Coturnix japonica: one gene and its partner. The protein of the gene in region 1 purifies or fractionates together with the protein of each later gene. This does not show direct contact. Links are inferred from orthologs where the notes say so. Each region holds a gene or a part of one and is shown in the gene's direction. Other genes may lie near its edges. The genes, in order: SIK2 and PPP2R2A.

Evidence for each region.
Region 2: the proteins of SIK2 (region 1) and PPP2R2A purify together in Homo sapiens (affinity purification with mass spectrometry; 3 studies listed by BioGRID and IntAct, with this or other methods). This does not show direct contact. The link is inferred for Coturnix japonica from reciprocal best matches to the Homo sapiens genes SIK2 and PPP2R2A.

Annotation. Positions count from the first base shown.
Region 1 is NC_029539.1:45,998-49,816, forward strand, and holds part of SIK2 (serine/threonine-protein kinase SIK2), read left to right. Parts: intron 1-1,995; coding exon 1,996-2,112; intron 2,113-2,401; coding exon 2,402-2,465; intron 2,466-3,819. UniProt on the Homo sapiens protein: Serine/threonine-protein kinase that plays a role in many biological processes such as fatty acid oxidation, autophagy, immune response or glucose metabolism.
Region 2 is NC_029537.1:1,754,869-1,758,687, reverse strand, and holds part of PPP2R2A (serine/threonine-protein phosphatase 2A 55 kDa regulatory subunit B alpha isoform), read left to right. Parts: intron 1-443; coding exon 444-609; intron 610-967; coding exon 968-1,080; intron 1,081-1,377; coding exon 1,378-1,555; intron 1,556-1,821; coding exon 1,822-1,986; intron 1,987-2,581; coding exon 2,582-2,751; intron 2,752-3,285; coding exon 3,286-3,377; intron 3,378-3,660; coding exon 3,661-3,819. UniProt on the Homo sapiens protein: Substrate-recognition subunit of protein phosphatase 2A (PP2A) that plays a key role in cell cycle by controlling mitosis entry and exit. Involved in chromosome clustering during late mitosis by mediating dephosphorylation of MKI67.

The DNA of each region.
Region 1 (3,819 bases):
GCTGCTGAATGCTTCTTCCTCCTCTCAATGTGGTGAAGGAGTTGCTGGATTTTATGGATTTCCAAGAGGTTTTTCTCTGAGCTTCCCAGGACCTGGTGAGATGTGTGGGAACTGAGAGTTCAGAATAGACCAAGCTATCTAATCTGCATTTGACCACAGAGCAGTGGTGCCAGCTGCTGCTGTGCTGCTCTGCACGTGGAAGACTGTCACTGTTTGAGCAGAGATAACTTTCGCACTCAGACTTGTACAAGGATGGTTAATAGTTCTTTTTCTTTTAGTCCAGGCAGCCACTTGCTTGGCATGCATGAGGAGAAAAAGAAGCTGCTGTCAATACCTCCAGTTGCTGAGCGTGGTGCTGTGTCAATCCCCAGTTAGGCTGCCATGCACTTTAATACTAACCAGGGCCAGCAGGATTTATTGCACTACATGAGGCCAATGAAGGAGGCAGGGGCTGTCCAGAGGGCCTCACCTTGTTGCTGGCCTGAAGATGTGCCACTGGCGTGAGGCAGGAATACAAGGTAGCTGCAGGTGATTGTTGGTTTGTAAATAAGAAAGAGTGGTTTCCCTTTCTCTTAACTTCGGAGGTCACTCCATGGCAGCTGCTGAGCAGACAGATGGTGGAGAAGGAACAAGAAACCTTCTCTAGGGGATTCCAGCGAGAGCGGAAAACAGAGAGGAAGTGGAGAAGTGAGGCTTGGGCTTGTTAAGCATTTTGTCCAGCTTAAGTGGTTTACTTTGTTATTTTGTAGCTTTCTAGTGAAGTAGTGAAGGGATTTCTTCCTTGTTCCTGGGAGCAGAAGAAAAACCGAGTTCACGAGGTGTGATCTACCAGTTTGTGGAGACTTGGAGCTGTGGGTGCATGCAGCTCTTAAGCTGCACCAACAATGCTCACATCCCTTGCTCTACAGCAGTCTTCCTCCTGCACAGCACCTGTCTGCTATTGCTCCACACCTTGTAAACCTGGTCATCATCAGAAGTGATGACTTACATCGCTTGCTCCCACATCAGCATTAATAAAGAGATCTTTAGGATGAATAAACATCACTCATTATTTAGTAATCTTCATATTCCAATCCTTTTCATGTTTTTTAGCAGCTGTATATTTGTTACTCCTTGATTTTTAAGAAAAAGTGGTGGTCTCTGAAGCAAGTGCAGTCCTCTGTAACTTGTTTTGCAGATATTGGCTAAAAACAAAGCCACGGGAACCAGGATCTGTTCTCTAATTGTGATCTGTTGGTGAGATCTGACCTGGAGACATCTGCTTCATGGAGCATATAATGCTATAATGTAATGGAAAGTACAGTGATAATAGTGGGGTGGCAAATTCTTTGGCTACAGCAAATGAGGACAAGCCCAAAAGCAGCAGCCGTAGACATAAAACAAAAAGGGGAGGGGAGGAAAGCAGCTTACCTTGGGAAGGCCTCAGGTAGGCAAGGATCTCCAGCAAGATACTTTTGCCTCCACTGCTGACCCTTAAATGAGGGCTTGGAAGGGCTGAATGCTGGCTCCAGCCATTCCATCACTCAGTACGTTGCATGTACCTCAGCTGCTCTGGGCTGGCTCTGTCTTCTCACCAGGTGCTCCGTCGCTGTTTCAGGGTGTGATTCAGCATTTCTGCTACAGAGCTTTTTCCTTGACTGGATGAATTGTGGATGTCCGTGCGTAGCAGCATATTATTTGAAGTTTAAATAAGTGTCTCATTAGAACTATGTGCACCCACCGTGTCTTGATTCTGTGTCGAGCCAATGCTTTCTCTTTTCCAGTACCATTTTTGCAGGTGTGGAGTTGGAATGCTGCTGGCAGAGCATCCTGTGAACTCCCCCGTGGCACTATGGCCATGTCTTGGGCTGTGCTGCTCCATGTTTAAAGGCTGGGGTGTGGGATATGTGTTTCTGAGCTAGGAGAAAGCTCCCATCTATCTGAGATCATGGTACTTATAATGAGGATAAAGGAGTCAGTGAGAGCTGTAATTTCTCTTTTGCTTTTTGGCTGCAGGTAGCAATAAAAATAATAGACAAATCTCAGCTGGATGCTGTGAATCTTGAAAAGATCTACCGTGAAGTGCAGATAATGAAGATGTTGGATCACCCCCACATCATAAAGCTCTACCAGGTATGGCAGCAGTGCCTCTTCGTTTCTCACTCTTTGCTCCTGTTTGTAGAGTTCACCTCCTGCATTCCTAAAAGGCAGATAACTAGTTCTTTGGTAGGCTTATTCCTGCTGTGCAAATGCTCTCCTCAGAACTGGTTAGGCAACGTGAGAAACTAAACTTTATGTCCAGGACAGGCTTCCACTTCTTTTATACTGGAGGAAAAAAATTGTAAATGAAAGTATTCATGTTGGTTTGGTGGCTCTTTGCTCTTCTTGCAATTAATATAATGTGGTGCTTCTCTATCAACAGGTGATGGAGACCAAAAGCATGCTATACCTTGTGACAGAATTTGCCAAAAATGGAGAAATTTTTGGTAAGTAAGAGAATGTTTTCACATCCAGCTAACTGCTAACTTCTGCACTTCGTTAATTGCATTGATTTTGTTGAGAGCCCTTTTGTGTGTGTGTGTGTGTGTGTGTGTGTATGTGTGTGTCATTTTTCTCTTATCTGTCTGGAAAAGCTGGGTAGAAAGAGATGTTATTCATGGTGCTGGATGGTAGTGATAATACAGTATTTAATAGCAAAAATTATGTTCCCAGGAATAATATAAAGTGGCTATGATAGTGAACTACAGCGGGGGTTTTGACCTGAAAGTTTGTTTAAACTGGAGAAAAGAATCTGTGTCACACAGACAGAGGAGAGAACACTGTTGACATGCATCCTGGTTACAAGCTCTTACTTTCTGTCCACGGAGTAAAGCAAGTGGAATCAGAAGAGTTTCCTGGTTGCTCCAGGATGCCTGCTCAGATGTCTGAAGCAGTGTTAGTGTTCTTTGTGTAGATCTAGAAAAACAGTGTGGCTACTACTGTGGAAAGCCAGTCACTGACTGGTGATATATATAGCATCTTTCTGTAATTGTGAGAGATGGAGTTAATATGTAATGAAAAAATTATAAGAGATTGACATACTGGTATGCTGTCATCAGGAGTACTCTGTATATCACATGTACTGTTGCATGGTTTAGGAATTGGACTGAGCTTTGTAAATGCTGATTTCATGACTTTATGCTTGACATCCAGGCATCTTGAGTTTTCCTATTCATTTTAGTGGCAGTCACAAAATTGGAGTTGCTGAGAAAAGGTTTCACAGTCACTCAATCAACACTGCCTGGCAGAACAAACTCTGAGGGGCATTAGAATAGAGTTCACCATGGGGAAGGCCCTAATGATTGGAGAACAGAAGAGGTGGAGCCTGACTTAAATTCATTTCTTGCACTGTGGGCCAAGGGGTGAATTTCATGAAAACAAATCGAATGGTTAAAGTCCTTTCTTCTTGTTTGGTTTATCTTCTTTTTCATCTTTAGGTCCTTATCACTGGACTGTCTGTTGTAAGCAAGATAGTATATCTAGGACAACTTTACCTAACCGGGAAGTAGAGAAAATCCAAGGTGGTATTCAATAAAAGGAGAGAGAGAGAAAAGCAGAAAGGAGACCAGAGCCTTGTGAGCTTTTCCTCATTTCCTGGAAATGTTTGAGGGCTGCTGAAATGAGTGCTGCTCCTTGGTCATGAGCTTCATTCTTATTAGGATGTAGGAGGCAATTCTGAATCCTTCCTGATGGTTGATGCCTTAATTTTTCTGCCTTGGAATTGGAATAATAGCATTGACTGTAGAAGCTGCTTTTGTCAAGACTTGCGCAGCTGCTGTTTCACTTGTTTTTGTTCCTGAG
Region 2 (3,819 bases), on another chromosome or scaffold:
CAGGCCAGCTGCAGCTGTGACTTGTACTAGCAAAGATGTATTCATGAGAGAGCTGAATGTAGCACTGAATAGATTTGCTTCACAAGTAGCTGTGTTTCTGTTGAGGAAATATCCGCCTTAAACAAAAGGTGGGAAAATTAATGATGAGGGAGTGGTAGACTTCTTGTCTTCAATCAAAACTGAAGTTCTTGCAGTAGAGATGATCCACCTTTAGTCTGATCTGCAGGCTTGTTAAAATAAGGCCAACTTTACACCAAAGGATCCTTGCACCAAATGTGGTGTTGACGGTGGTGGAGTGTAGAAGTCTCATCCAGCTTATGTGTTAATTAGCAGTTTGCCTGTGTATGTTGCTGCATAAATATCTAGTTCTGGCTTCTCTCTACAGCCTTGCAAAGCATTTTGTATGTTGCATACCTACCTTGATCATTTAATTCTCTTTTTAGAACAAAACCCAGTCTCACAGTAGGGGAGAATACAATGTTTACAGTACCTTCCAGAGCCATGAACCTGAGTTTGACTACTTGAAAAGTTTAGAAATTGAAGAAAAAATCAACAAAATTAGGTGGTTACCCCAGAAAAATGCTGCTCAATTTTTATTGTCTACAAATGGTAAGCGATGACTTTAATATTTGCATAACCTGTTGTTGCATGGGTTGGCTGTTAGGGTGCGAGTACTTCCATGAGTCATTCATAATAATCTAAACTGAAACTTGCTCTAACTTTGTTAAAAGAACAAACTGTGGAGGAGGTCTCGTTAATGCTTCTTATCCTGTCTTGTTTTCTTTGTGTAATCTTGAGATGAAGCAAAACGTGTATCTAAATGAATTCCTTATCTCCAAGTATTTTTTTTGTCTTTTTGGTACGTGTAGGTGGTCTTGTTTGAAGGCTTTGTGTTAAAGTGAATCAGCCGTGAAGACCAGTGTCATGGCTAGAGCTTTGATTTGCAACTGTGGCTGTTTAATTTCAGATAAAACAATAAAGTTATGGAAAATCAGTGAAAGGGACAAAAGACCTGAGGGCTATAACTTAAAGGAAGAAGATGGACGGTATAGGGATCCTACTACAGTTACAACACTACGGGTGAGTGGTTCCCTGCATGAATTTGGCCATCACTGTTTCCATTTGGGGCCACGTGAACGTGCATTTGAGAGGTGTTGTCTTTCCTGAGCTCACGTGGCTCAGGGAGTGAGTGCCCCATCACACGGTTCACGTTCTCTGTGATGCTCCAGGTATTGTCTGCTGGAACTCTTATTTCTGTGCCTGCTGTTCTGCAGACACAGTTGAATAATGATTTAATGAGCTTTAGAGTATTGAAGGACTGTGCTAATGCCTACATTACATTCACAATTCAAACTTTGATTGCTATGTATTTTGCAGGTGCCAGTATTTAGGCCCATGGACCTCATGGTTGAAGCTAGTCCACGAAGAATATTTGCCAATGCTCACACGTATCACATCAATTCCATCTCCATTAATAGTGATTATGAAACGTACCTGTCCGCAGATGACCTGCGGATTAATTTGTGGCACCTAGAAATTACGGACAGAAGTTTTAGTATCTTTTTTGCATTGTTTTGTATGGCATATGTGTTTAAAACAAAAAAGTTTTATATTTCATGAGACGTGTTTGTGTAGCATGGCTTTGGCTTCCAAGTGTTGTCCTGCTCCCAGATTTCAAGCATTATCTTCCTTTTGTATTTTTGTTGGCTTGTTTTAGTTCTGTTTGGCTGTTTCAGATGTATTTTGATGAATTGTTGAATGCCTTTAAACTGAAAAATATGTTGTGGAAACCGGAGGAAATTCCTTAACAAAATGGTTTAGATATTGTAGATATTAAGCCAGCCAACATGGAAGAGCTGACGGAGGTGATAACAGCTGCAGAGTTCCACCCAAACAGCTGTAATACATTTGTATACAGCAGCAGTAAAGGAACGATTCGTCTGTGTGATATGAGAGCATCAGCACTCTGTGACAGGCATTCAAAATGTAAGTTCTGGCCTGTATTTATCTTTTGTGGACTGTGGTATCTTGCTGCTAGATGAAACGAAGCACTCACTAAGTATGTATTAAAGCAGGGAGTAGCATTAAAATACTGAGTGATATATTTTTAGATAGGATTGCTGTGGTATCTTTGGTAGATAGAAAACTAAAAATCTAATTGAGTCTTAAAATTAGATTCCTATTTAGTAGAATAAAAGTAGTGAATAGAATTATTAGCAACTTAAGTCCAGACAGCAGGGCGAGGAATAATTTCCTGCAGACTTGATGAGTATTGGAGCTGCTGAATTGTTTGTTCTGCATATGAATCCAGAAATCTCGTGTGTGAATGAAGCCTCCAAATACTCCCAAGCAGTTGGCTTGCTTAGAAGTTAACCTTGATTTGCAATGACAACGAAACATTTCACAGTATTTCCAGGTATAGCAATTACACAAAACCTTTGAAAAAGGGTTTTATAATACATAAGGTATTATAGCGCAACATGGAAAGTGTATTGTGCTTAAAATAACCTAAATTGGGTGTTATTTTGTATTGGTAATATAGAAGCTTACCTCTTGAAATGCCTGCTTTACTTCTTTGCAGTGTTTGAAGAACCAGAAGATCCTAGCAACAGATCGTTTTTCTCTGAAATCATCTCTTCCATATCCGATGTCAAATTTAGCCATAGCGGTCGTTACATGATGACTAGAGATTATCTGTCAGTGAAGATCTGGGATTTAAATATGGAGAACAGACCTGTGGAAACATACCAGGTATTTGGCTGAAATATTGATGGACACTTGATGGTCTTATTCCTAGTCCTGATGTAGCTGTTAGATGTATCTGTAAGTGACTACGGCCAGACAGAACATCAGTGAGATGAGTGGGTTTCACACACATTAATGGATTTTGCTATTTGCAGGCTGATGGCAGAACCTCAAACCATGTTTTGGTGTGAAAGTGTCCCTCTTATACATTGGAAATATGGGAAGGGAAATTTCCAGCTGTGAGGTAGCTCATCTCTTTTAGCCTTCAGTTGATTTCACAGTGTCCTGTTATTTCCTGGAGTACTTGGAGGTAAAACCTTTGCTTTGTAGAAAAAGTTTTTAGCTAGAACTGACACTTGTTGAATTTCCAAGCTACTTTTGTAAGAAAACTTTTGAAGGGATCCTCTTCATCATCCATAGAAAGGCGATGGGTCACCAAAACGGGACTTCTAGGAAGCAGCCAGGTTTGCCAGATGCTATTCTAGAGGTTATTTTACAGGTATGTCATGCTCAATATTAATTGTTCTAACTTTTTCCCAGGTGCATGAATACCTCAGAAGTAAACTTTGTTCACTGTATGAAAACGATTGCATTTTTGACAAATTTGAATGCTGCTGGAATGGATCAGACAGGTGAGTGCAATGTTTCTCTATATGTTTGCAAGGCTTCACAAGTTGGTATTGAAACAGGCAGACAGCCTGAAGCCTCTAATGTATTTTGCTTTTATTCCTGGATTGGCTTGGATGCTATTCTTATAATTGCTGTCCAGGTATTTGAGATAAATAGACTTTAACATGTGTGTTATAAGTGACACAGTAGCATGAGGTTATTGGGAATTGCCTTAGTTAAGCAGATGAAGAATTGGAATGATCTTCAATGGAACTTTTCCTTCTTTTCCTCTGCCCTTCTCTGCAGCATTGTCATGACAGGATCCTACAACAACTTCTTCAGAATGTTTGACAGAAACACAAAACGAGACATCACCTTGGAGGCATCACGGGAAAACAACAAACCCCGCACGGTTCTGAAGCCACGTAAAGTGTGCGCGAGTGGTAAGAGAAAGAAGGATGAAAT